Callithrix jacchus: one gene and its partners. The protein of the gene in region 7 purifies or fractionates together with the protein of the main gene of each other region. This does not show direct contact. Links are inferred from orthologs where the notes say so. Each region holds a gene or a part of one and is shown on either strand. Other genes may lie near its edges. The genes, in order: SNU13, large ribosomal subunit protein eL8, NOLC1, EBNA1BP2, DHX9, BRIX1 and NOP56.

What was found.
Region 1: the proteins of NOP56 (region 7) and SNU13 fractionate together in Homo sapiens (co-fractionation; 3 studies listed by BioGRID, with this or other methods). This does not show direct contact. The link is inferred for Callithrix jacchus from reciprocal best matches to the Homo sapiens genes NOP56 and SNU13.
Region 2: the proteins of NOP56 (region 7) and large ribosomal subunit protein eL8 purify together in Homo sapiens (co-immunoprecipitation; 3 studies listed by BioGRID and IntAct, with this or other methods). This does not show direct contact. The link is inferred for Callithrix jacchus from reciprocal best matches to the Homo sapiens genes NOP56 and RPL7A.
Region 3: the proteins of NOP56 (region 7) and NOLC1 purify together in Homo sapiens (affinity purification with mass spectrometry; 6 studies listed by BioGRID and IntAct, with this or other methods). This does not show direct contact. The link is inferred for Callithrix jacchus from reciprocal best matches to the Homo sapiens genes NOP56 and NOLC1.
Region 4: the proteins of NOP56 (region 7) and EBNA1BP2 purify together in Homo sapiens (affinity purification with mass spectrometry; 4 studies listed by BioGRID and IntAct, with this or other methods). This does not show direct contact. The link is inferred for Callithrix jacchus from reciprocal best matches to the Homo sapiens genes NOP56 and EBNA1BP2.
Region 5: the proteins of NOP56 (region 7) and DHX9 purify together in Homo sapiens (affinity purification with mass spectrometry; 3 studies listed by BioGRID and IntAct, with this or other methods). This does not show direct contact. The link is inferred for Callithrix jacchus from reciprocal best matches to the Homo sapiens genes NOP56 and DHX9.
Region 6: the proteins of NOP56 (region 7) and BRIX1 purify together in Homo sapiens (affinity purification with mass spectrometry; 3 studies listed by BioGRID and IntAct, with this or other methods). This does not show direct contact. The link is inferred for Callithrix jacchus from reciprocal best matches to the Homo sapiens genes NOP56 and BRIX1.

Annotation. Positions count from the first base shown.
Region 1 is NC_133502.1:190,079,412-190,083,427, reverse strand, and holds the start of SNU13 (NHP2-like protein 1), read right to left. Parts: upstream 2,801-4,016; 5' UTR 2,670-2,800; coding exon 2,616-2,669; intron 1,281-2,615; coding exon 1,160-1,280; intron 711-1,159; exon of another isoform or gene 604-710; intron 1-603.
Region 2 is NC_133510.1:113,504,074-113,506,776, forward strand, and holds large ribosomal subunit protein eL8, read right to left. Parts: upstream 1,393-2,703; 5' UTR 1,370-1,392; coding exon 569-1,369; 3' UTR 501-568; downstream 1-500.
Region 3 is NC_133513.1:95,116,099-95,118,797, reverse strand, and holds the end of NOLC1 (nucleolar and coiled-body phosphoprotein 1), read right to left. Parts: coding exon 2,652-2,699; intron 2,467-2,651; coding exon 2,308-2,466; 3' UTR 501-2,307; downstream 1-500. UniProt on the Homo sapiens protein: Nucleolar protein that acts as a regulator of RNA polymerase I by connecting RNA polymerase I with enzymes responsible for ribosomal processing and modification.
Region 4 is NC_133508.1:79,831,332-79,834,831, forward strand, and holds part of EBNA1BP2 (putative rRNA-processing protein EBP2), read right to left. Parts: intron 2,564-3,500; coding exon 2,488-2,563; intron 2,252-2,487; coding exon 2,158-2,251; intron 1-2,157. UniProt on the Homo sapiens protein: Required for the processing of the 27S pre-rRNA.
Region 5 is NC_133519.1:41,043,979-41,047,478, reverse strand, and holds part of DHX9 (ATP-dependent RNA helicase A), read right to left. Parts: intron 3,198-3,500; exon of another isoform or gene 3,056-3,197; intron 2,235-3,055; coding exon 2,188-2,234; intron 846-2,187; coding exon 709-845; intron 397-708; coding exon 307-396; intron 217-306; coding exon 55-216; intron 1-54. UniProt on the Homo sapiens protein: Multifunctional ATP-dependent nucleic acid helicase that unwinds DNA and RNA in a 3' to 5' direction and that plays important roles in many processes, such as DNA replication, transcriptional activation, post-transcriptional RNA regulation, mRNA translation and RNA-mediated gene silencing.
Region 6 is NC_133503.1:170,709,830-170,713,956, forward strand, and holds the start of BRIX1 (ribosome biogenesis protein BRX1 homolog), read right to left. Parts: upstream 2,801-4,127; 5' UTR 2,777-2,800; coding exon 2,618-2,776; intron 1-2,617. Other genes in the region: cell cycle checkpoint protein RAD1, read left to right, coding at 3,653-3,850. UniProt on the Homo sapiens protein: Required for biogenesis of the 60S ribosomal subunit.
Region 7 is NC_133506.1:10,188,286-10,191,855, forward strand, and holds the end of NOP56 (nucleolar protein 56), read left to right. Parts: coding exon 1-142; intron 143-224; coding exon 225-376; intron 377-567; coding exon 568-668; intron 669-730; exon of another isoform or gene 731-816; intron 817-1,034; coding exon 1,035-1,183; intron 1,184-1,250; exon of another isoform or gene 1,251-1,321; intron 1,322-1,400; coding exon 1,401-1,522; intron 1,523-1,569; exon of another isoform or gene 1,570-1,642; intron 1,643-1,712; coding exon 1,713-1,850; intron 1,851-2,004; exon of another isoform or gene 2,005-2,124; intron 2,125-2,599; coding exon 2,600-2,971; 3' UTR 2,972-3,070; downstream 3,071-3,570. Other genes in the region: IDH3B (isocitrate dehydrogenase [NAD] subunit beta, mitochondrial), read right to left, coding at 3,419-3,505. UniProt on the Homo sapiens protein: Involved in the early to middle stages of 60S ribosomal subunit biogenesis. Required for the biogenesis of box C/D snoRNAs such U3, U8 and U14 snoRNAs. Part of the small subunit (SSU) processome, first precursor of the small eukaryotic ribosomal subunit.

The DNA of each region.
Region 1 (4,016 bases), on a different chromosome or scaffold from region 7:
CAACACAGATGAAAGTGATTCTAATGGTTCTCCTAAATCTCAAATATGATTGACAAAATTTCTGATGTTTCCATTAAAATCTTCAACGACACAAGAACTCTACCACACCAAACTGCTTGGCATCTGGTAAAATCAGAGTATTTTGGCTGGGCATGGGGACTCATGCCTGTTATCCCAGCACTCTGGGAGGCTGAGGCAGGTGGACTGCCTGAGCTCAGGAGTTCGAGATCAGCCTCAGCAACAGAGCAAGATTCTGCCTCAAAAAAAAAAAAGGCTGGCACAGTGGCTCACCTGAGGTCAGGAGTTTGAGACCAGACTGACCAACATAGTGAAACCTCATCTGTACCAAAAATACAAAATTAACCGGAAATGCTGGTACATGCCTATAATCCCAGGTACTTGGGAGGCTGAGGCAGGAGAATCACTTGAACCCAAGAAGTGGAGGTTGCAGTGAGCCAAGGTCCAGCCTGGGCAAAAAGAGCAAAACTGTCTCAAACAAACAAATAAATCAAAATAAAAAATAAAGTATCATGCATACATAATTATTCTACTAAAGAACAACATTTTTTTTTCTTTTTTTTTTTTTTTTAACCAAGGGAGGTGGTGCTTCCTTTGGCAGCACATATACTAAAATTGGAACAATACAGAGAAGATTAGCATGGATCCTGCGCAAAGATGACATGCAAATTCGTGAAGAGTTCCATGTTTTTGAATAATAGCATCAAAAAAAAAAAAAGTCGGGGGAGAGGGGTAGGGAATGTTTCTGGAAACCAAATAAAATTCATGAATGCTAAGTATCCACAGTATAAAAGATGCTACAAAGCAATAATATACCGTTCCTTCTGATGGCTCTGGAGAGGTCATACAGTTACTATACGAAGTCTCTACAACTGCTTTCGAATGGCTCAGCAAAAATAAAATTCATTTATAAAGTGTAAAAGAAGGTAAATGTGGCAAAATGTTAACAATTTGTGGGTCTAAAAAAAATTCTTAGCCCATCAGCTTTAGCATCTAATGCCAAAATGCTGCTCTTAGGTCCTTCCACTGGTTGCAGTCAAGAGCATCTAGCCCTCCTCCCAAATTGGAAATCTAGACCAGAGGTCCCAGATGGAAACATGTGCCTTTAACATTTCCCCAGAGCACCCTGTGGCTGCCTTACCTTCATTGGCTCCTTTCCGAAGCTGCTTATAGTTACATGACTGCTGAACAAGGTCCAGTAGTTTCTTGGTGAGGTGGGCATCAGCAAGGGGATAGGCCTTCGGATTCACATCAGCCTCAGTCTAAGGAGGGGGAGATAAAAATATCAGTCAAATTGAACTGGAAGTTTTCCTACTAATACTAATCAACAATTGATCACAAAATACTAATCAACAATTGAGAAACAGGGAGCAGCTGCTCTGCTTCCTGATCCTCCAACACACAGAACACCATGTAGTTAACAATGAGCTTTCCAGTCCTACCTTCGGAAAAAATGAAATATATTATTAGAAACTATACAGTTCAATGAAGTATACTAAAGCTTATGTACTTTTGTCTCGTCAGATGAATGTTCGATAATATTACAGCAAATGGATTACAAATGGGCTCCCATGGCTCAGCATCCATTTGAGTCCATGGGTAATCTGTACTTTGTTTTTTTTTTTTTAGATGGGGTCTCACTCTGTTGCCTGGGCTGGAGTGTAGCGGCTGATCTCAGCTCACTGCAACCTCTGCCTGCCACGTTCAAATGATTCTTATGCCTCAGCATCCCAAATAGATAGGACTACAGGTGTGTGCCACCACACCTGCCTAATTTTTGTATTTTTTTTTTTTTTTTGTAGAGATGGGGTTTCACCATGTTGGAAAGTTTGGTCTTGAACTCCTAGCTCACATCTGTAATCACAGCACTTTGGGAGGCTGAGTGCAGGTGGATCATGTGAGGTCAGGAGACCATTGGTAATCTTTAAATTTGAACTTCTGTATTCCACCTCAATTTACGGAATCAAAACTAAGATATAATTTACAGTAAATGTAGCACAAAATTCTTTTAATTCCCCATTCCACATACAAATATTCTGTTCAAACCCCTGATTTCCAACAGACCAAAGTATTTCCTCACCTACTCTGCAACACACAAAAAATGGTTCCAAAATTGCTACACCAATACACCACCTCTACCAACAAACTCACCAAGGTCAAAATTTATTTTTGTTCTTAGGATATATCCTACCAAAGCCATCCAGTGATAGTACTATGCTAAAAAATTATTCAAATTAAAATTTTCCTTGGGGTTAGCAATTTGATATACAATTAAGACTTGTTTGTAGTCAGCTTGCTTTAAATTTTATTTTTCAAATATGTAAAATATCTTCATGGTTTAAATGTCAAAACTATGCTACTGATAGCAACTCAGTGTTGTGAAAACCAGGAAAGGGAAACAATCATCTTCTGTGCCTTTCCTAAACACCGTATTAGGAGGTAACCAAATAGAAGATGAAAAATACCTCTTGCATCACTATTCCACCTAATAAATAAAGAGGAAATGGTACACTTAAATATCACCAACTTGCAACCCTTATTAACTAATTAATGGCACTTGCAGTTAAGTTAAAAATCCTTACTTTACAGATACATACTGTAATACTTATGGATAAAATGGCGTCACTGAGATGTGAGTCAAAATAACCCATGTAGGGGTCGGGAGTAGTGTCTCACGCCTGTAGTCCCAGCTACTTGGGAGGCTGAAGCAGAATAGCTTGAACCCAGGAGGTGGAGGATGCAGTGATCCGAGACTGCGCCACTGCACTACAGGCGCCAGAGCGAGGCTCCATCTCAAAAAATAAATAAATAAATAAAAAATGACGCACGTAGGGAGCGAACTGGGTGAGCGGCCTGCCAGTTCCGCTCCTTCCATCTCATTCCCACCCCTCCAGTTAACCATTTTCATTAACTTTTTCTGTCTTTTTTTTTTTTTTTTTTTTACAAGCACAGCACATATTTATACAAGGGTATACTCATATTAAAACCTGGGGGCAGCCCTCAATGTCGCCATTGAGTATTAATGTGCGAATCGCGAGTGATTCGCTGCGGCCGCAATCTAACCTCGGCCTTGGAGGCTGGACACAAGGTGGACGGCAGTCACTGGAGACGGTCGGGTGGGAACACTTATCTATTGCGCCTGCCTCGGTGGTCTCCTGCAGGACACCGCGCGCCTGCCTTTTCCTCCTTCAATTTTTTTTACAGCTTTTTTTGATATAGCTGGCTCACGGTACCGCGGTTCTGAGAACGTGACCCGTGGGTAGTGGCCCAGTAGGAACACTCACCATAGCGTCTGTCTTGGTAGTCTCTCCCCGGACACCGCAAGGACACCACGCGTGTTAGTCTGGGGTGGTCTGCTACCCTCCACCGCAAGGACACGGATGCCCCGCCCCAGGAGCAGGAAGTGACGCCAGTGCCACCAGCGGAAGTGACGTCCAGGGCCAGACAGTACACCAAGACGCCCTGTCTCCCACCTAACTCGTTATCTTAGGCAAACCTGTCTTGGTCCCGAGATGACTGGGAGGAATTAGGTGAAGGATGGAGTTGTTCTCTAAAGCGCAGGTTGGGGGAAGTCGAGGGAATACCTCTGTAATATTTTTCTCTTCCCCAAACATTCACTGATTGATTGACGGAGCCTCCCTCTATTGCCCATGTTGGTGTGCAGCGGCATGACCTCGGCTCACTGCAACCTCCACCTCCCGGGTTCAAGTGATTCTCTCGCCTCACTGCCTCCTGGGTACCTGGGATTATAGGTGCCCGCGACCACGCCCAGTTAATTTTTGTATTTTTAGTAGAGACAGTGTTTCACCACGTTGGTTAAGCTGGTTTTGAACCCCAGACCTCAGGTAATCCGCCCACCTCAGGCTCCCAAAAGTGCAGGGATTACGGGCATAAACCACCGTGTCCGGCCTATCCTTTATTCGTAATGTCTATAGAGTATGTCACCTTCATGTGTTACTTCAACTTTCTTTTTTTTTTTTTTGAGACAGGGTCTCGCT
Region 2 (2,703 bases), on a different chromosome or scaffold from region 7:
AAGTTGCAGTGAGCCACAATCATGCCATTGCACTCCAGTCTGGGCAACAAGAGCGAAAGTTAAAAAAAAAAATCTTATAAAATTGAGCTAGGACTATAGGCACACACCTGTAGTCCTAGCTACTCTAGAGACTTAAGTGGTAGGATCCCTTAAGCTCAGGAGTTCAAGGCTGCAGTGAGCTATGATCACACCACTTTATTCCAGCCTGGGCAACAGAGTGAGACTCTTTTAACCCAAAAGTTAAAAAAAAAGGAAAAATATTCATAGACTTGCACATCAAAAAAACCTGTACCCTGATGGTAAGAAAAACCTTACATTAAAATTATTACACAAAAAAGTATACTGCATACAAATTATCCCTCTATAAACCTAAGAAAAAAGAAATGTGGAGCAAGTATGGCAAAATGTCAATTTCTGAATAATCTTGGAGGAGTACACAGTGGCCACCTTTTCTGTGCCTTTCATCCTGTTTGGAAAATTTCAATCTGAAAAGAATAAAAACAAAAATAATTTTTTTTTTTTTTTGAAGGAAAATTTTCATTGTTTTATTTTTATTTACAGTGTAAATTTAACCCAGTTTCGTGGCAAGCTCTTTAGCTTTTGCCTTCTCTAGCTTTGCAATGCGAGCCACAGACTTGGGACCCAGGACATTGCCTCCCCAGTGACGGCGGATCTCATCGTATCTGTCATTGTAATTGGTGCGGATGGCTTCCACCAGCTTAGCCAAGGCACCTTTGTCTTCCGCGTTAACCTGTGTGAAGGCGACGGTAGTGCAGGTCTTCCTGTGGACTAGACGTCCCAGTCTTGCCTTCCCCTTGATAATGCAGTAAGGGACTCCCATTTTTCGACACAGGGCAGGCAAGAAGACAACCAGCTCAATGGGATCCACGTCGTGTGCAATCACCACCAGCTGAGCTTTCTTGTTCTCCACCAAGGTGGTGATTGTGTTGACTCCTGCTCGAAGGACAGGTGGTCTCTTAGTGGGGACGTCCCCTTTGCCAGCCGCTTTCTTCTCGGCCCGGGCCAACAGCCTCTGCTTCTTCTCTTGCTTTGTCTCTGGTCTATACTTGTGGGCCAGCTTAAGCAGTTGAGTAGCTGTTTGGCGGTCCAGGGCCTGGGTGAACTGGTTAATTGCAGGAGGCACTTTCAGCCGCTTGTAGAGGATGGCTCTCTGCCGCTGCAACCTGATATAGCGGGGCCATTTGACAAAGCGGGTGAGGTCTCTTTTGGGCTGGATGTCCTGTCCAATACCAAAATTTTTAGGCCGTTTTTCAAACAGGGGATTTACCACTTTCTTAGCCTCCTGCTTCTTCACGACAGCAGGGGCCGGAGCCACCTTCTTCCCCTTGGCCTTCTTTCCTTTCGGCATCTTGAGCAGCAGAAAGAAAGAGCCAAAAATAATTTTTTAGAAAGCCGAGATTATTCGAAATACAGCCTGGTTCAATAATAGGATGCAAAGTTAAAACTGTATAGTAAACTGGGCGTGGTGATTCATGCCTGTAATCCCAGCACTTTGGGAAGCTGAAGCAGGTGGATCACTGGCGATCAGGAGTTTGAGATGAGCCTGGCCAATGTGGTGAAACCCCCTCTCTACTAAAAATACAAAAATTAGCCAGGTGAGGTGGCGGACACCTGTAATCCCAGCTACTGGGGAGGCTGAGGCAAGAGAATCCCTTGAACCCAGAAGGTGGAGGTTGCAGTGAGCTGAGATTGGGCCACTGCACTCCAGCCTGGACAAACGAGTGAGATTTCATCTCAAAAAAAAGAAAAGAAAAGAGAAGGAAAGAAAAGAAAAAAACTCTTAAAAAAAAAAAAAAGGTATGGTAAACAAGGAATTTTTATTTCATTCCTGTCAGTGAATGTCTGTGACTGTATGTATTACTTTGTTTTAGAAAAGGTCAAATGCAAATGTGAGACCTTTCAAGAATGTGAAGTCTGCTCAAATAGCCTTTTGTCCCTTAACGTTTCAGAAAACACTTAAAGAACAAGAATAGTACTTAGTAGTTTATGAGGTATGTGGGGAGGGGGAGAATGAGAGCAGTTGGATTATTTTCTTCTGAGTGTTGATCTGGAAATCAATTACCCGACTGGTTACTTCAGTCCAAATCGTACAGCCAATCCTCCATCTTCACACATTCTTGACCCCTTTGTAGCTCTAAAGTAACCCCTTTAGGAAGCTTGATGACTCTGCCTCCTCATTTGTGAAATGTTTGGGTGAGATGAATAAAAATAGACATACTAATCACTAGAAAAAAATTGATCCTTCTTTTTCTCTCTCTCACTATGTTGCCCAGGCCAGAGTGCAGTGGTGTGATCATAGCTCACTGCAGCCTTGACCTCCTGGCCTCAAATGATCCTCCTACCTTAGTTAGCCTCCAGAGTAACTGCGACTACAGGCATGTGCCACCGTGCCCAGTTACTTTATCTTTTATCTTTTTTTTTTGGAAAGGTCTCACATATTTATTACTGAACCCAGCCAACCAAAGCCTTCTTCTTTTTTTTTTTTTTTAACATGAATAATGGAAGCACTGTGGGTTGTACCAACTAATGCCTTCTTAACAGATCCAGAGAGAAAACTCTGTTCACACTTCTCCAGATAGCAGTGACATTTTTCAGCTTGATTTGGTAAAATGATTGTGACCTTCAGACAGTATAAATATGTGTGCCATCTCATGTGTAATTTCTTATAGACCCAGCTTAGCT
Region 3 (2,699 bases), on a different chromosome or scaffold from region 7:
GCCTCCCAAGTAGCTGGGATTACAGGCATGCACCACCATGCCAGGCTAATTTAGTATTTTTAGTAGAGATGGGGTTTCTCCATGTTGGTCAGGCTGGTCTGGAACTCCTGACCTCAGGTGATCCACCTACCTCAGCCTCCCAAAGTGCTGGGATTACAGGTATGAGCCACCACACCGGCTATTATCTATCTTTTTAAAAAACCTTTACAAATGTAATAACCTTCCTTAGCTCTTAGGTAATATAAAAACAAGCCATGGGCTAGATTTGACCCATAGGCCATTTTGCCAACCCCCAATTTGGACAATGCACAGGCTGCAGTACAGCCTGGAAAAGGCACCATGAGACAAGCTGTGGCCAAGAAAACCCTGCAAGCTGCTGCCAAAAAGCCTCTGCAGTGAAGTCACAGGTCCAGACCCCAGTCCTCTAACTGGCACCAAAGTTGTTCTGTTTTGAGTAGGAAGAAGAAGGGGTTCAGACTCACAATAATAAACTCCCAAGACACATTATAAACCAGCCAGTTTATTATTTTATAGTAAGATGTAGAACTTTTACCATGCAGACTGAAATATCGGTGTCAGCATGAACAGTACATTTTCTTCTAGAGGCAGTTACATGGAAAACCAGGTTATTATCAGGTTATTTAGCGAGTGTGGAATCCAAACAAGAGGAGACTAACCTTAAGACCTACAAATCATCCATGAAGGCTTGGGGCACACTTTCCTACCACCCAAACACTTTAGCCTCCACAAAGCTGTGGACTCTTCCCTCTCCGTCTTGTTCTGGCTGAGTACCACCACTGATCAGTCGCTTCCTGCAGCCATACCCACAGGCCAACTTGGCCTAAGAGCTGTATTTCCGGTCACTGGTTTGTGTTGTTATTGCCACTATTACTAACAGTTAAGGTTCTGAAGGGGGCACATCAATTGCTCCCACGTACCAACTACGAGACCCATGTACCAACTAAGTAAGAGACACAATAATCCTGTTAGTTTGTTCTCCCAAACCCACTCCACTCAAGTTTATCAGGTAATATGCTCTGTCAGGTTCGCGAACTCGACTCACTGCAACCTCCACCTCCCGGGTTTCAAGCAATGCTCCTGCCTCAGCTTCCCGAGTAGCTGGGACTACAGGCGTGCGCCACCACGCCCAGCTAATTTTTTTGTATTTTTAGTAGAGACGAGGTTTCACCATATTGACCAGGATGTTCTCCATCTCTTGACCTCGTGATCTGCCCGCCTCGTCTGTAAGGTTCTTTCAACCCGATTAGCACATACAGAGAATACCAATAAATTCATCTAATATAACCTACCTTCCTCCTGAGGATTGAGTTTTTCTTTTCCCCACTTTCTTGATTCTCAACCATGTAGGAATTAATGAAACCAATTCTATGTCACCACTGCAACCAAGACAGCAATGCCAAGTGATATGTATTTTTCAAATTAATGTCATTTTGTTCTCTATACTGTGAAATATGATGCAGTCCTCAACTTAGTACTCAATACTAGGAAGGGTCAAGTTGTCAAAAAATGTGTATCAACAGTAGAAAAATTTGCGTTCAAATTAAAAAAACAAAGCATGTATTACAAACATCATGTAATGATAAAATTACAGAAAAAAAAATATTCAGAATGACCCACGGCATTCATACCACACCAGAAGTTTGCCTGTAACAAAACAGTAAATTTTATCCCAAAAAGTAGGTTAGGTCCATGCTGGCTAAAAACCTCAGTCCCAGACTCAATAAATGAGAATGAAATACACAGTGCATGCTTAATATGACATTGCATATACATCAGCCATTCTTTAATACCCCTCGCTAGGGTTTTGAGGGAAAGATGGATGAAATGTGAACATGTGCACTCACAAAGGCAGAATTTTCTTCCAATTATAAAAAGTCATACCTGTGACCCTTTACTATGTCTTGGGCATAGCTAAGTTTTTGTCTGTAGGAATCCACCTTTGAAAATCACAACAAAAATCAATAGAAAATGATTTAATATAAAATATACAAATTTCTAGAATGAGGACTTTCACAGAAAAGGAAGGAGACAATGAAAACGAATTTTCTGCAAAAATAACATTCCCTTATTTTGTCCCTGCTACTTAACACTCAAAACCAAGTCTGTACAAAACTAGGTAACACAGAAAAGGACCAGAAAGGATGTTACATTGTAAAGTCTTAGGACCTACCCTAAACTTCTGTCCTCATCAAGACCCTCACCTGGAGAGCTGAGGGTTCCCAAGTCCACTAGAGAAAGTGAGTGGTCTCTGACCATCACCTTTGCTTCGCCAAAGATGGCCCCAGGTCACTCACTGTCAAACTTCACGGAATTGACCTGAACAGAGATGGAGCCTCCCCGGTAGCTGCCCCGCTTCTTCTTGGTTTTCTCATGCCGGAAGGACTTGCCTTTGGTGAACTTCAAAACCTGATTGGCTCGCTCTCCCCAGTCTCCAGCTGCACCTCGCTAGTTAAGTAGAGAGAGGAGGTTAACACAGAAGGACCATGCCAGGGCCTTGTCACTTCTTTTCTTTCTACTCCCTACTCAAGGTAACCTGAACCCAGAGAGGATTGCCACCAACCGGAATCAAGAGCTGTGCTCTCTGACACTACCACCCTCCCTCCCAAGAATGGCACAGATCTCTCTCTCACCTTGGCATCAAAGGAGTTGTCTGCCACTCGTGAATCCACCTCAATTTC
Region 4 (3,500 bases), on a different chromosome or scaffold from region 7:
GCCCCTTAGGCACTACTGTGACCCAGAATCTCATCCTTGGCCCCACAATCCTATGCTACAGCCCCTCGAGATACACTCGTCTAGCTCAACTATTTACAGTTCTAACCACCAGGGCAGGAAAATAAAGCAAGAAGCAGGGAAGGCTCCACATGCATCATGTGGCTTCCTAGTGTCTTTGGAAAGCTTTCTATTTTAACTAAATCTTGTTAAATCATCCTCAGTTGTGTCTATTCCTCTTAAGGGTAAATATATGCAGTTAACATTAAATGTAATACAGGTCATCCAATAGGGATCTCAAATTCAGCATCCCCAAATTCACATCACCTCCTGCACTGGCTCTACTTCCTGTATATATGAGCTCACTTGAGACTGGCACAGGTCCTGCCAACCCAGACACACAGGCTAACATGTGGGAGTCTGCCTTGGTTCTTCTCTCACTTTATACCCAATTCAATTGCTGAGTCCTGCTCATTTCACCTCTTAAATGTTCCTGCAGTCCATCTTCTCTTCTCCCTCAGTTGCCACTTTCAGGTTATTATCATTGCACATCTGGACTAGTCTCCTTGTCAATTTCCCAGCTTCCCTCAAGTCCCTCACTTATACAAAATCCACTGTAATCTTTTTAAAAGCATGACTATGACTTGCTCATTATTGTCAGTACAACCTATAACCTAGTCTCCCCACTGCCTTCTGGACAAACCCCAAGCTCCTCAACAAGGCAAACCAACAGCGCAGGTCTCCCAAGCCACATCGCACCCCTCCTTGCCTTGCACTGTAGTCCCAGTGACACCAAGGGCTTACTGTTCCTCACAAAACCCTGAGGTTTCACATCTCTATGGCTTTGCTCTTTCAAGCTCTTCCTTCTTCCCAAACCCAGCTTCTCTCCTATTCTTGTGGTTAATTCTTACTCACGCTTCAGGCAATGCTCAAGTCAAACCCTCCTCCAGAAATCCAGAAATCCATCTCCAGACCCTGTCAGGTATTTTTTTTTTTTTTTTTTTGAGGCAGAGTTTCCCTCTTGTTGCCCAGGCTAGAGTGCAATGGCATGATCTTGGCTCACTGCAACCTTCTCCTCCTGGGTTCAAGCGATTCTCCTGCCTTGGCCTCCTTAGTAGCTGAGATTACAAGTGCCCACCACACACCTGGCTAATTTTTTGTATTTTTAGTAGAGACAGAGTTTCGCTATATTGGCCAAGCTGGTCTCCAACTCTTGACCTCAGGTGATCTGCCCACCTCAGACTCCCAAAGTGCTGGGATTATAGGCATGAGCCACCATGCCCAGCCCATATCAGGTATTTCTAAAAGCTGCCTCAATACTACTCCCCAAATGCCTCTATCATAGATAGCACTTACTACCTTACACGGAAATGATCATTTCCCCTAGGCCTGGTATCCAGGTATGCAAAACACTGAAGAGCCTGCATTCTTCTTTCAATCTTCATACTATGAGGCAGATACTCTTTCCTCAACTTAGCAGATGAGGCAATTAGCACTTAGAAAGGTATGGTAACTTGTTCAAAACTGCCCTACTACTAAGTGGCAGAGCCAGGGTCTGAGTCCTAGGCCTGAACTCTCAACCATCACACCGTGTGATGGGGACTCAACTTTTACTCAGCATCTACTTAAAGAGTACCACATACTTAAATGTACCTTCTTAGGCTGGGTGCAGTGGTCACGCCTATAATCTCAGCACTTTGGGAGGCTGAGGTAGGCAAATCACTTGAGCCCAGGAGTTCAAGACCAGCCTGGCCAACGTGGTGAAATCCTGTCTCTACTAAAAATACAAAAATTAGCTGGGTGTGGTGGTGGGCGCCTGTAGTCCCTGATACTCAGGAGGCTGAGGCACAAGAATCACTTAAACCCAGGTGGCAGAGGTTGCAGTGAGCCAAGACTGTACCACTGCACTGCAGCCCAGGTGACAGAGTTAAACTCTGTCTTAAAAAAAAACAAGTTTAAAAAGGGCCTTCTTTTATGCCTCAAAGACTGACATGGCTAAAATTACCCATCACACAGTGCTAGGAGTCTTGGCCACAGGCAGCAGCTGCATTCTCTGGACTCACAGCTGAGCCAGTAGGGGTGCTACGCCTGTCATCTTCGTGACCTATGGCCCCACAGCACCTCCCAGAACCAAAGAAACCATACCAAAATACTTCTCACCCCTTCTTCATCTGCTGGCCTTTGGCTCCTGCCTTCTTGCCCTGTGTTGGGGGTTTCTGATCTCCCTCAAGGAAATCCAGTTTATCAGAGAAGCCTGTAAGTGAAGAAGCAGTTCTGATCAGCACCATTGTATTTTAAAAGTTGAAACCACCATATAAAGCTGTTATTTGCCACACTGATTTTAAAAGTGACATCCTGCTCCCCAACACCATTTCCAAAACTTAGATCCGATAGGTCCACATCAACCAAGAAGGCTCCAAAGCACTAAGTGCTCAGATCAACTCTAAAGTACCTGCTACCCTTGTTCCCCCAGCAGAGAGAGGTACCAACCTTTCTGATATTTCTTAATAGCGTTCATCATATGTGCTTTCTCCTGCTGCCTCTTCTGAAGAACCTCTGTTTGCACCTGTGATATGAACACCAGGACAGTTACAGCCATTCCACACCATTACTCCAGTGTCCACATTCTCTTAATAGCAACACCATGATTAATACTGCTACCCTTTGACATTTACTATGTGCCAAAAACTATGTTAAGGGCTCTAAGTATATTCTCAGATCTAGGTATATTCTTCATAGACGAAGATATATCTATTTCATAACAATCCAGTGAAGTTGAAATTTGTGTTATCCCCTAAACTGAAACACGCAGAATTTAACCTGCCCAAGTTGCACAGTGAAAAAGTGCACAGCTGAGATGACCCAAGCTGTTTGCCTCCAAAGCCAGCATTCACTCTATTATAGAATCCTCCCTACTAAACTGCAGCAAATCATGTTTAAGCCGACATCCAATTTTTCCCATCATATTTGGACAGATTAACTATCTAACTTACTGTTACTAGGCATGAAAGTACCAAAAGGAAGAGAAAAAAACAATGTCCCCAGGTAAAGAAAAGAAAAAGGTTTTAAGAATAAAAGGAGAAACTTTATAATACTCTAACAGAGTTTCTCAATCTTGATACTGCTACACTGTGGACAGACTGCTGGGGGGAGGGGCCTGTCCTGCACTGTGGGACATTCAGCAGCACCCTTGCCCTCTACCTGTAGATGCCAGTAGCACCCTCCCTCCCACATTTGACAACTAAACATACCTTCAGGCAGTGACAGAAAACTCCTGGGGAGCAAATTCACCCCAGCTGACAATCTCTTCCTCAATGTTTCCTCAAAGTAGAAACAGTGAACTAATAGGCCCAAGTGAGTTTGTCTTTGCTTTTAATAACTTTGGTTAGGTTAAATTAATTATTGGTGTCTTTAAGATAATCTCAGCCATCTGCCTCCAGATCAAAGAAATAATAAATCCGTGGCAGGCCCTTTGTAGAGACAGGATCCCGGCCTATTCTTAC
Region 5 (3,500 bases), on a different chromosome or scaffold from region 7:
CATACTCAAGAGTGAAACACGAGAGTCTGATCTCAAAAATAATACTGCACTCACAAAAGCCAGAGGCCCCTCATCAATGTTGCTACTGGTCCAAGGATTCCAGTTGGATTGTGGAGGTGACCAAGGAACCACACCCACTTGGTTTTGTCGTTGAGATGGTTCAAACTGAGCCAATTTGCCAATGTTGAGTGCCACTGGCACAGAAGGATCTTCAGGCTATTAAAAAATAAGAAAAACAACAACAAAATGATTTGCCTGTCTACTGAGAGTTCTAAATACATGTAAACTAAATAGCTGTATGCTTACCGGGGGCAGAATCTCAAGATTTAGCTCTTGAATAATGTTTTGCAGCTGATGCTCTAAATCTTGAGAGATGTTTACTTTGTAAGGCTCCACCTACAAAAAAGGATCACACATATAAATACTACTCAAATCTACTTTAGTAGCGCTAAGACTATACAGTCAAAACTAATTCTACAGTATTCCTAAGCCAACAGTCAGTTCCCTTTAGTGAGAGAATTACTTCAATGATTATGATTTACTCATTTCCTATTACGGATATCATGCCAGACACAGATGATTAGCAAGGCCATTTCATTTCTTGAGGTAAGATTCCTTGAAATTAAGACTTCTTTAGCCAAATACTAAACAAGAGCTAAATTGAATCTTAAAATATCTCACGAGTCTATTATAAATCTAAAAACTCACTGTCTCTCCTTCCTTCTTCTTTGTAAGTCCAGAGTAAGCTTCAACCACTCCAAGATGGTAGAGTTGTCTGACAAGTGACAGGGCACAGGACTGTGCTGCCAATTTCTTATTTGATCCATGTTCTCGTGCAAAAATTCCTATAATGTAAGATCGGGTTTATCAGACAGAAGGATCAATCACTTAAGTAAAAAAACATCTTATCACCAGGAACCATGGGCTTAGGTACAAAAGTCTTAAAATATAGTGTATGCCACGGCTTTTAGTTCCTTTTTATTCTATTAATATATGATAAACAAAAGAAATTGCCAAACAGTTTATCAACTAAATAACCCACTGTTTTGACTACAGGCTGATACTAGGACTCATACAATTCAGTATTATGAAAGCAAAAACCTATTTTAAAGGTTGTCAGTGTTATTATCATCAGGCATTAAAATATGGTAAGAAAACATAGTCTGACTTTTAAGAAGTCAAAGAGTAAAAAAATAAACCAATAAATGTAATCAGGTCCAGAGTGGTTACCTAGACCAGGATTTGGAAAACTTTTTCCATAAAGGGTTAATAAATATCTTAGGATTTGCAGGCCATAGTCTCTGTCACAACTACTCAACTCTGCCTCTAATGCATGAAAGCGGCCACAGACAATAGTTTGACAAACCATAGGCCTGGGAATGGTTTTATGTTTTTCAAGAGTTGTAAAAATAAAATAAAAATTAAAATGTATGACCTGTGAAGTCTAGAATATTATCACCTAGTGCTTTATAGAAAGAGTTTGCTGTCCTCTGACAAAGGAATAAGTTTAGTTATGAGTGTAGCTATGTTCAAATAGAACACTTATAAAAACAGGCAGTACATTGGATTTGGCCAGACGGCTATAGTTTGCTGACCTCAGCATTAAACAGAAGCTAACAGCTACTCGTATCCTTGAAGAAAATACTAATAGAAAGTTTCTTCTTCCCCAGTATCATTCAGTTTTAGGAGAAATGAATATAATGCAAAGGGGTACAAAGGTATCTTTCTGCCTAACTAGCCAAATTAACCCCAATCAAGTAAGTGAGAAACCAGGAACCCCTAATCAAGTAAGTCTTATCACCAGGAACCATGGGCTTAGGTACAAAAGTCTTAAAATATAGTGTATGCCACAGCTTCTAGTTCCTTTTTATTCTATTAATATATGACAGAAGTTAGCCTGCCTTTATCCCTTAATATTTCCCATCCACTCAAAATAACTTATTTTACATATAAAAAAGTTTTAAAATTCTTTGACAATGGCAGACTCCTAATCATCCTGCTTTATCTTACCTTTCAAACATTACACTAACATGGTCTGCTTCATACGTAAACTAGAAGACTTTCTCTAACGTCTATAATTACTAATATTCTAAAATATACCCTAGATGCTATCTTACATTATGTGCTCTTTCAATAATACAGCTTCTCTATACAAAGTCTTGGAATATCGGGGAAACAGTGACTTACTTCTGCCCAGCTGCTTGATATAAATGGTCATTTCTGCAATAAAGCTCCTGTAACAACACATACAAGCAAGGTTAGAAATTTCACTGTTAGAAATTGGCAAATCCAGGTCTCCCAAGTCAGGCAGGCTTTCCAACTGCTTAGGCAAATCACAGAGAAAAAAAATTACCAACATTTATTTCTGCCCAACCCTAGAACAAATGAAGTATATAAACTTCAAATATACAACACGGCATAAGACAACTATAATCAAAGTCGATGAGCCAATTGTTCATGAAAGGAAAACGTTAGGGTTTTAGATTTTATATTTACTTACTCTTATTCCAAAGGCTGGAGTCTGAACAGCAAGAACACATTCAATGAAAAGGAATTTTCCACTTAGCTTGGAGCCAAGAAATAAAGTAGGCCCAAAATGCTTTACACTACTGTTAGAATTATTTTAAGATTCTTCTGCATAGGCCACCCATTATGAACTGCAATCTGTTAGGATTAAGCTAATATACGCAAACTCACACATGCACATTCATTTTGTGCACATCAATGGCTCCTAAGGCAGAGCTCTCACATCTGCCTGCAGTTGGAAGCGGCCCTGGATGACAAAAATTTAGCCTATTTATATGACATTTATTTAAATCAGGTCCTGGAGAACAAAACACATGCTGTCACATTATATCTCAAACTGCTTGTGGAGTCTAGAAAATGAATTTAGATTTTCACAAGGGAAAAACTGCCCTTTGAAATTCTATGCATTCTGGTCCTTTCACTGCTCAGATACATTCTAAACCTAGACTTTGTGCTGTGAATAAAAGGCTGGGTGAGGCTTAAGAAAAAATAAATGTTAGACTCCTTCCTATACCTCTTGTGAACTGACCTTCAGGCACAGCGGCTTCAGGGGTCAAAGGCCACTGGCTTTCAGGGGAACAACATCCACCCTTTCATTAATGACATCGATGCCAGTATGTTTCTCAGCCAGGCTTAAAGTCAGCACTCAATCTCATTCTCCTCCACCTAGGGGGAACAGCGACACCAGAAATCAGTTTACAATAGTTTCCCATGTGATTGCTTAGTTCAGCCTAAGCAGCAGCACATGTGTATTATGAACACAGACCTCTGGTGTTGCTGTCTGTTATGCCTTTAAATAAAAGGCCATACAGGAATGCTGTCCTGGCTCCCCCAATTGTCTGTGCCTCTCATTGTCTTTTCCTGAATTCTTCATTGCTTTGTATCAGAAATCTTTAAGATACTGATAACAAAAAATGTCTGCAACGATGAGCTTTAGGGCACACTTAGGTATCTTACTGTTCTTAAAGTCACCA
Region 6 (4,127 bases), on a different chromosome or scaffold from region 7:
CAGGCTGAAATGCAGAGATGCAGGCTAACAGCTCACTGCAGTTTCACGTTCCTGGGCTCAAGTTATCCTCCTACCTCAGCATCCGCAGTAGCTGCAGATTACAGGTATGTCACATCATGCCCAGCTAATTTAATTTTTTTGTAAAGACGGGGGTCTCCCTGTGTTGCCCAGTCTGGTTCCCAACTCCTGGGCTCAAGCAGCTTGGCCTCCAAAGTGCTGGAATTATAGGTGAGAGCCACCACACCTGGCCCTGTTTGTTTTTCAAGAGCTTCCAGGTAGCAAGTCAAACCATGCTGACTCCTTTAATCCATCTCTCAGCAACATTCACTGACCACATCTGCCACCCAGAAATGCCCTCCTTGGTTTCTTTCTTCTTTTTCATCTTCGATTTCTCCAATTCCTCTTCCTAACCCTTAAAGTTCTTGCTTAGCCCTCTCTTTTCTGTGCTCTCTATGCCAGGTCTCATAATAACTTCCCACAACTTTAATTTTTGTCCACTCTACAGAAGGGAACTCTCTCTAGCCCTAATAATCCAAGTATTTCATTAACACCTCAAACTCAACTCTACAATACTAAACATTTTCTTAGACCTCTTAAATCTGGTGCATTTCCTTGCTATTTCATTTTCTTTCTTTTCCTTTTTTTTTTTTTTTTTTTTTGGATGCTGTCACTTCAGTCCCTCAAGGTTTGAATCTTCGATTTGCCCTGTTTCTCCCATCTCATCATAAGCACTATAAAATGCTATCAATTTCTCTTTTCAACAATTCTTAATCCTTTCTTATTCACACTGCACTTATTTAGTGCCTTATATGAACCACAAAACTCCTCAATGACTAACCATCCCAGACATGAGCTTCTCCAACAGATATGGTTGAGTAGCTTTTTCAACAGCTTACTTTTTAAATACTTCAATCACATCCTTACTTCCCAGAGTTTTCTAAACAAAATCTGAATGACATAGCTTTGACACTGAATTGGAAAATAAATTTTCATTTTTACATCATTACTGCCCCAAATCAAGCCTAATGCAATCCAATCTGGTTCTATTTTTTACATTTTTCAGCATTTCCCTACCTCAAAGTCTTTCATCAGTTCTTTTTTCTCTCCCTTGGAGTGTTCCCTCTCGTTTTTGAATGCCAAAATTCTCCGGTTCCTCTGATATGCAGCTTAAAGGTTAAATCTAAATCCTTCCAGATTCTTTATCTTATTATACTAGGGTAAAAGTAATCTCAATCTCCTGCATTTCCACAGAATGTATTAAAGTATGGCTCAGATTATAGAAACTAACGCCTTGAGCGAAGAGAGCACTAACATTTATTGAAAGTGTACAAGTCCAGCTTATTTTTCATAAAAAGTAAGTATTCCCTCCCCCCACCCTCCCACTCCCACTCCCACCTAATCTGCAGGTCAGAAAAGAGCACAGAATGTTGCTGTTAATAACGATCCTAGAATTTACACTTACTTTCTTTTTTTTTTTTGAGATGGAGTTTCGCTCGTTACCCAGGCTGGAGTGCAATGGCGCCATCTCGCCTCACCACAACCTCCGCCTCCTGGGTTCAGGCAATTCTCCTGCCTCAGCCTCCTGAGTAGCTGGGATTACAGGCACGCGCCACCGTGCCCAGCTAATTTTTTTGTATTTTTAGTAGAGACGGGGTTTCACCATGTTGACCAGGATGGTCTCGATCACTTGACCTCGTGATCCACCCGCCTCGGCCTCCCAAAGTGCTGGGATTACAGGCGTGAGCCACCGCGCCCGGCCCCCACACTTATCATTCCTCAGAGCTCACTCACCATCACACCACATGGAGTCATTTACTTATCACCTACTCCGTACTAGAGTGTACTATGCTAAGTGCAGAGGACAGAGAAATTAATGTCAAAGATAATCCTTGTCTCCACAGTATACTGTGTAGCTTAAGAATAGTTCTTAGTTGAATGAAAGTTAACTGAAACAACTTGCGTGCACTTCTTTCGAATAAAAACCACCAACTTCTCTGACTTAAGTTTCCTCCTGAACTCCAACATTTCAGGAGGAAGAGGTCACATTCTAGTCACCTTTGCAATCTTTGCCAAAGGAAGCTTAACTTGGAACAATGCGTGGCACATTCAATGTCTGTTCAATACAGGTAAAGCTCAAAGTATCTGGACTATCTTTCATTATCCCTTGAGTTAAAGACCTAGTTAACAACTCACAGTCCCAAGGCCAACAACTTTTTAAAGGCTCACCTAACAAGCTTCAGGATCCCTGCCTGACAGCAGCTGACTTCGGCCGTATATAGGAATACTAATCACTGGAAGAAATACTCAAAAGCGAGAAATAACCAAGGAAAAGCACCACCCTCCAAAAATAATTGAACAACTAGGAAGACAACGCTGGATCTGAGCACCCTGTCAGTCGCTTCCCCGTGGGCCGGCTAAAGGTTCTAAAACCCGCTGCCCCCAGGAGGGCGGCCAAGTGCACAAGAATTAGCTATAAACTCCGTGTCCAGTATGGCCGGGAGAACTGCTAAAACCGACCTACGGTCAACACCCGAGCTATTCTAAAATTAGTAGAGCTGTAGTCAGAACCCCCAAGAAAAGGCGCACAGAGCCGCGGCTGTTGGTGTAACCCTTCTACCTTGCAAACGGGGCCTGGGATCCGGTTTCTCTCTTCTTCCTCCACCTCCTCTGCAGTAGCTCGAGGCTTAGCTGGCGGTTCGGCATCTTTCTCGTTTCTTTTCGGTTTCTTCGCCTGAACTGCCAAGCCTCCACGCCGTTTCCTCTTGGTTGCCGCCATCTTGTCTCGCCGCCTGCGCTCTTTGGCCTTCTTTCCGGTGTTGCCGCTCGCACCCTTTTCCGATCTCTATGGTTCGGCGGCTCTAAGCGCTCGGTTCAGCGGTCGTCCTCCAGCTCGGTGGTGCCTGCCTGCTTCCGGTCTTGGAGGCGCTGCACGCTTGGCTCTCTAGGATTCGTTCCGCTCCATGGTGACGGTGGCCGAGGTGGAGGGCCGAGCTGAAAAGTGTCGGGACCCGCTTCCCTTCTTCCGCGGTTTTTCGGAGCCGCCTTGCTACTCCTCAGGGACTTTGCCGGGAAGGGCTCTCGGGCGTCCAGACCCCACTGCAAAGGTAGGGTGTCAGCACTCGAGGACTGAGAGTAGTAAGTGATGCTGTCCAGCGGGCGAGCTGGTGAATGGGCTTGTCTGGGACCCTTGGGGGATCTTCTGGGCACTCCGAGCCCGCCCCCCCCCCCCCCATCGCCTGTTGCGTTGGAGGCGAGGCTTGCGGCGCGGGCGACACAAAACCGACTCCGTAGGGATTCGTAGCTCCTGTTTGGCCGGGATAAGCTGGCCCCAAGCGGAGATACCGTGTCAGTTGCGTGTCTTCATTCTTCACAACTTTTCACGTTATTGTCCCCTTACGGAGATGAGGAAACCGTAGCTTAGAAAATTTTCTCCCAGAGTTACAAAGACAGTTAAGTGGCATCGGTGGGGTTCGGCCTGGTCAGCCAAGTTCAGCTGCCCAATCCCCTTCCATTTCTCAGCGCAGGTGGAGCTCGCCAGACCTCGCCAGCACTGATGGGAGTTTTATTGTCCAATCCCTTCAGGTATTTCGCGATCCGCGGGAGCAGGTGTTGGCCCCAGAAGCATCCCTCGGGGCCGAATGTGCAGCGGACAATGCCCCTTCTGACCCAACAGATCCAAGACGATGATGATCAGTACAGCCTCGTGGCCAGCCTTGACAACGTTAGGAATCTCTCCACTATCTTGAAAGCTATTCATTTCCGAGAACATGCCACATGTTTTGCAACTAAAAATGGAATCAAAGTAACTGTGGAAAATGCAAAGTGTGTGCAGGCAAATGCTTTTATTCAGGTATGGAAATATGTGCCTTTAAGCCTGTGCCATAGATATTCTAAATGCAGTTTAATGAAATCTGAAGGTTTTAGTAGACAATAAATGACTTTATAGTCAATAGTCCTGAATAAATAGTATATGAATAAATAGCTGTATAGTCTTAAGTCAGAGAACAAAACGCCTTTACTTGAGTTTTTTTTTCTCTCCTGGTAACAAATTTTTTTTCCCATCTTGTTTTACAGAGATAATGGTTAGTAATGACTAAAAAGCTAGACTATTAGCTAGGCACTCCTCT
Region 7 (3,570 bases):
GACAATGCCACATACTGCCGTCTTGCCCAGGTTATTGGAAACCGAAGGGAACTGAATGAGGAGAAGCTGGAGAAGCTGGAGGAGCTAACAATGGATGGGGCCAAGGCTAAGGCTATTCTGGATGCCTCACGGTCCTCCATGGGTCAGTGCAGAGCCTGGCAGCCTGCATAAGGTATGGGGCTCTGAATATCTGGCCCTCTGCATTCACACTTGGTTTTTCCTAGGCATGGACATATCTGCCATTGACTTGATAAACATCGAGAGCTTCTCCAGTCGTGTGGTGTCTTTATCTGAGTACCGCCAGAGCCTACACACTTACCTGCGCTCCAAGATGAGCCAAGTAGCCCCCAGCCTGTCAGCCCTAATTGGGGAAGCGGTGCGTCACAGGGGACACAAAAAAATGGGAGAATAAGGACTGTTCCCATGTGCACCCGCACTGCTGTATGTCCTGACCCACCATATATCTTCCCTACTTGTGCTTGATGGGGAGGGGAGGGGGTGAGTAGGGCTCTTGCAATTGGCAGGTCAGCAGTTCGTTTCTCTGACTGCTTCCTTGACTCTCTCCAGGTAGGTGCACGTCTCATCGCACATGCTGGCAGCCTCACCAACCTGGCCAAGTATCCGGCATCCACAGTGCAGATCCTTGGGGCTGAAAAGGCCCTGTTCAGGTACCAGTGAGGGCACCTGCCCACATTCAGGTGCCACTTCTGGTGCCCGCCTCTTGTTGGGGGATCACGGTGATGGCTGACCAGGGCTCCCTGACCTATACAAGCCTCTGCTATGGGGGTGATGGCCAATCCTGGTATCTGAGTGATTCCCAGGGCCCAGCAAAGGGACCAAGTCTCCAGGTCAGCGACACTGGATGCCTTCCCTCTGCCTCTGGGTGCTATGGGTTTGCATGCATTGGGATAGAGATCCAATCTGGCCTGAGGCTCATTCAGGACTTGGGGGTGAGAGGAGGGGAGGAGCTGAGCTGCCTTGGCTAAGGGGGTTGAAATTTCTGATCTTAAACTCTCCACTGAATGTTCTCTCAGAGCCCTGAAGACAAGGGGTAACACACCAAAATATGGACTCATTTTCCACTCCACCTTCATTGGCCGAGCAGCTGCCAAGAACAAGGGCCGCATCTCCCGATACCTGGCAAACAAATGCAGTATTGCCTCACGAATCGATTGCTTCTCTGGTATGGGTGGGGGGGGGTATGAGAAGGGGCTGGCTGGGTGGGTGGGGGCTTGCAACCATAGCAGCTTCCACAATGATGGCAATATTTTTCGTCAACAGCAGTTCACCTAGTGAGTGTTGAGAGTCTGGGTCTGAGTGAAGCTGAGGGTAGAGGGAACACGGGGTGGGGGTAGTTTTTCTCTGGGCTGACAGGCTTTGTTACCCACATGCACGTCCAGAGGTGCCCACGAGTGTATTTGGGGAGAAACTTCGAGAACAAGTTGAAGAGCGACTGTCCTTCTATGAAACTGGAGAGATTCCACGAAAGAATCTGGATGTCATGAAGGAAGCGGTGGTTGAGGTCAGTTGGGCTTTGCTGGGTGTGGGGAGGCATAGCTGGCTGGCTGTTGGAGTTGATGAACTGTCTGAGCCTGACCTTGCGGAGTGGAGGCAAAAAAAACTGATTTAATGAGCCTGATCCAATAAAGCCAGAAAGGAGTCCTCAGAGCACCAGAGGTCTTCAGGCCCTTTTAGCACTTCTCTTTGACCAGGCAGAGGAAGCGGCTGCTGAGATTACGAGGAAGCTGGAGAAACAGGAGAAGAAACGCTTAAAGAAGGAAAAGAAACGGCTGGCTGCACTTGCCCTCGCATCTTCAGAAAACAGCAGTAGTACTCCAGAGGAGTGTGAGGTCAGTAGGCAGCTTGGCCCTTGCAAAGATCCCAGGTTGTAGGGTTTTCAACAGCAGAACAAAGGATGTGCTGCATCAAGCCATGGTCTTGAGTCCAGGCTTTTCAACTGAAACAAGGACCTAAAACATCTAAAACTACCTCTTGATTCTATAGGAAGGAGATAGGTGCTGAGAGAACTTGCTCAAGAGCCCAGAGAGCTGGTTGTAGCTCACACCTGTTCCCTGGGCATGTGTGTTCTGTCCTCGGCTGCCTCCCAGGAGTCCTCAACCTGGGGTAGTGTAAATTCCTGCTCTGCTTATTCTCAGACGTGTGTCCGGAGGTGGTAGTGTTCACAGTGGGGATGGGGGCAGGGCGGTCCCCAGTGTGCTGGGCTACAATCGTTCTCCCTGGGATTTTCATTTAGCACCCAGTTTCTTAAACAGTGTTTCAGGGCCCTGTCTGGAACTTGGCATGATGGTTCTGTTGTGGCCAGCATGGTGGGTTTTTCTTTAGGGTTTTTTTTTTTTAATGGGCTGAGGTAATTTACTACATATTGTCCTTAACTTCTAATTTGGGATAGCCTTTGGGATGGATTTCTAAAGTTATACCCACACAATTAAAACTATCCCAGAAACACTGGGCAACGTTAACAACTACACAGGTTTCCCTGCCTTGGCTACTTAATTGCTGAAAATGTAATGGGGGTATGTGTGCACATATCAATAGATGTCACTGTTCTCACAGCCTGTTCCCCTGTCCTTCCCTTTAGGAGGCAAGTGAAAAGCCCAAAAAGAAGAAGAAAAAACAAAAGCCCCAGGAGGTTCCTCAGGAGAATGGAATGGAAGACCCATCTACTTCTTTCTCCAGACCCAAGAAAAAGAAATCTTTTTCCAAGGAGGAGTTGATGAGTAGTGATCCTGAAGAAACCACTGGCAGCCCCAGTCTTCCCAAGAGGAAGAAATCATCACCCAAGGAGGAAACAGTTAATAACCCCGAAGAGGCAGGCAACAGAAGTGTCTCCAAGAAAAAGAGGAAATTCTCCAAAGAGGAGCCGGTCAGCAGTGGACCTGAAGAGGCTACTACCAGCAAGAGCAGCTCCAAGAAGAAGAAAAAGTTCCGGAAAGAAGCCCAGGAAGATTAGAATGCAAATGGACATTCTCTGGGAGGCGGGGCATACCATAGCCCAAGGTGACATTCCCCACCCTGTGTCCTGTTCCCCAATAAAAACAAACTCACAAAAGTCGGTGGTTCATGCTTTTTATTGAACACCTTAGATGGGTATGGACAGGGCCTATGAGTGGGGCAAGGCAGCAATGACAGCCTCAGTGAAGTCATGGCAAGTAGCATAGCCACCCATGTCAGAGGTTCGAACCTGTGGGGGAGAATCATCATCATCCATGTGGCCTGGGCTCCATCCCAACAAAATCCCCATCACAACCCAGCAGTCTGTTCCCTAAAGAAGCCAGCCCAAAGACAACCTAGGCCCTGCCCAGTAAGGTGACCATGGTACACTGCCTAGAGGCACAAAGTCTCTTCTGGTCCACTGCACTGAAGGGTATGGGGAGTGTGGTCCTTGAAATAAAGGGCTCTAGCTCCCATGGGGGTGCAGGTGACCGATGACAGACTTGATGAAGTCGGTTGTGGTGCTGTAGCCGCCCATGTCTCGAGTCCGCACCTACAGCCACCACCGGCAACAGCCGTGGGGAGGAAGAAAAGAGAGCCCATGAAGGGAGGTAGGGC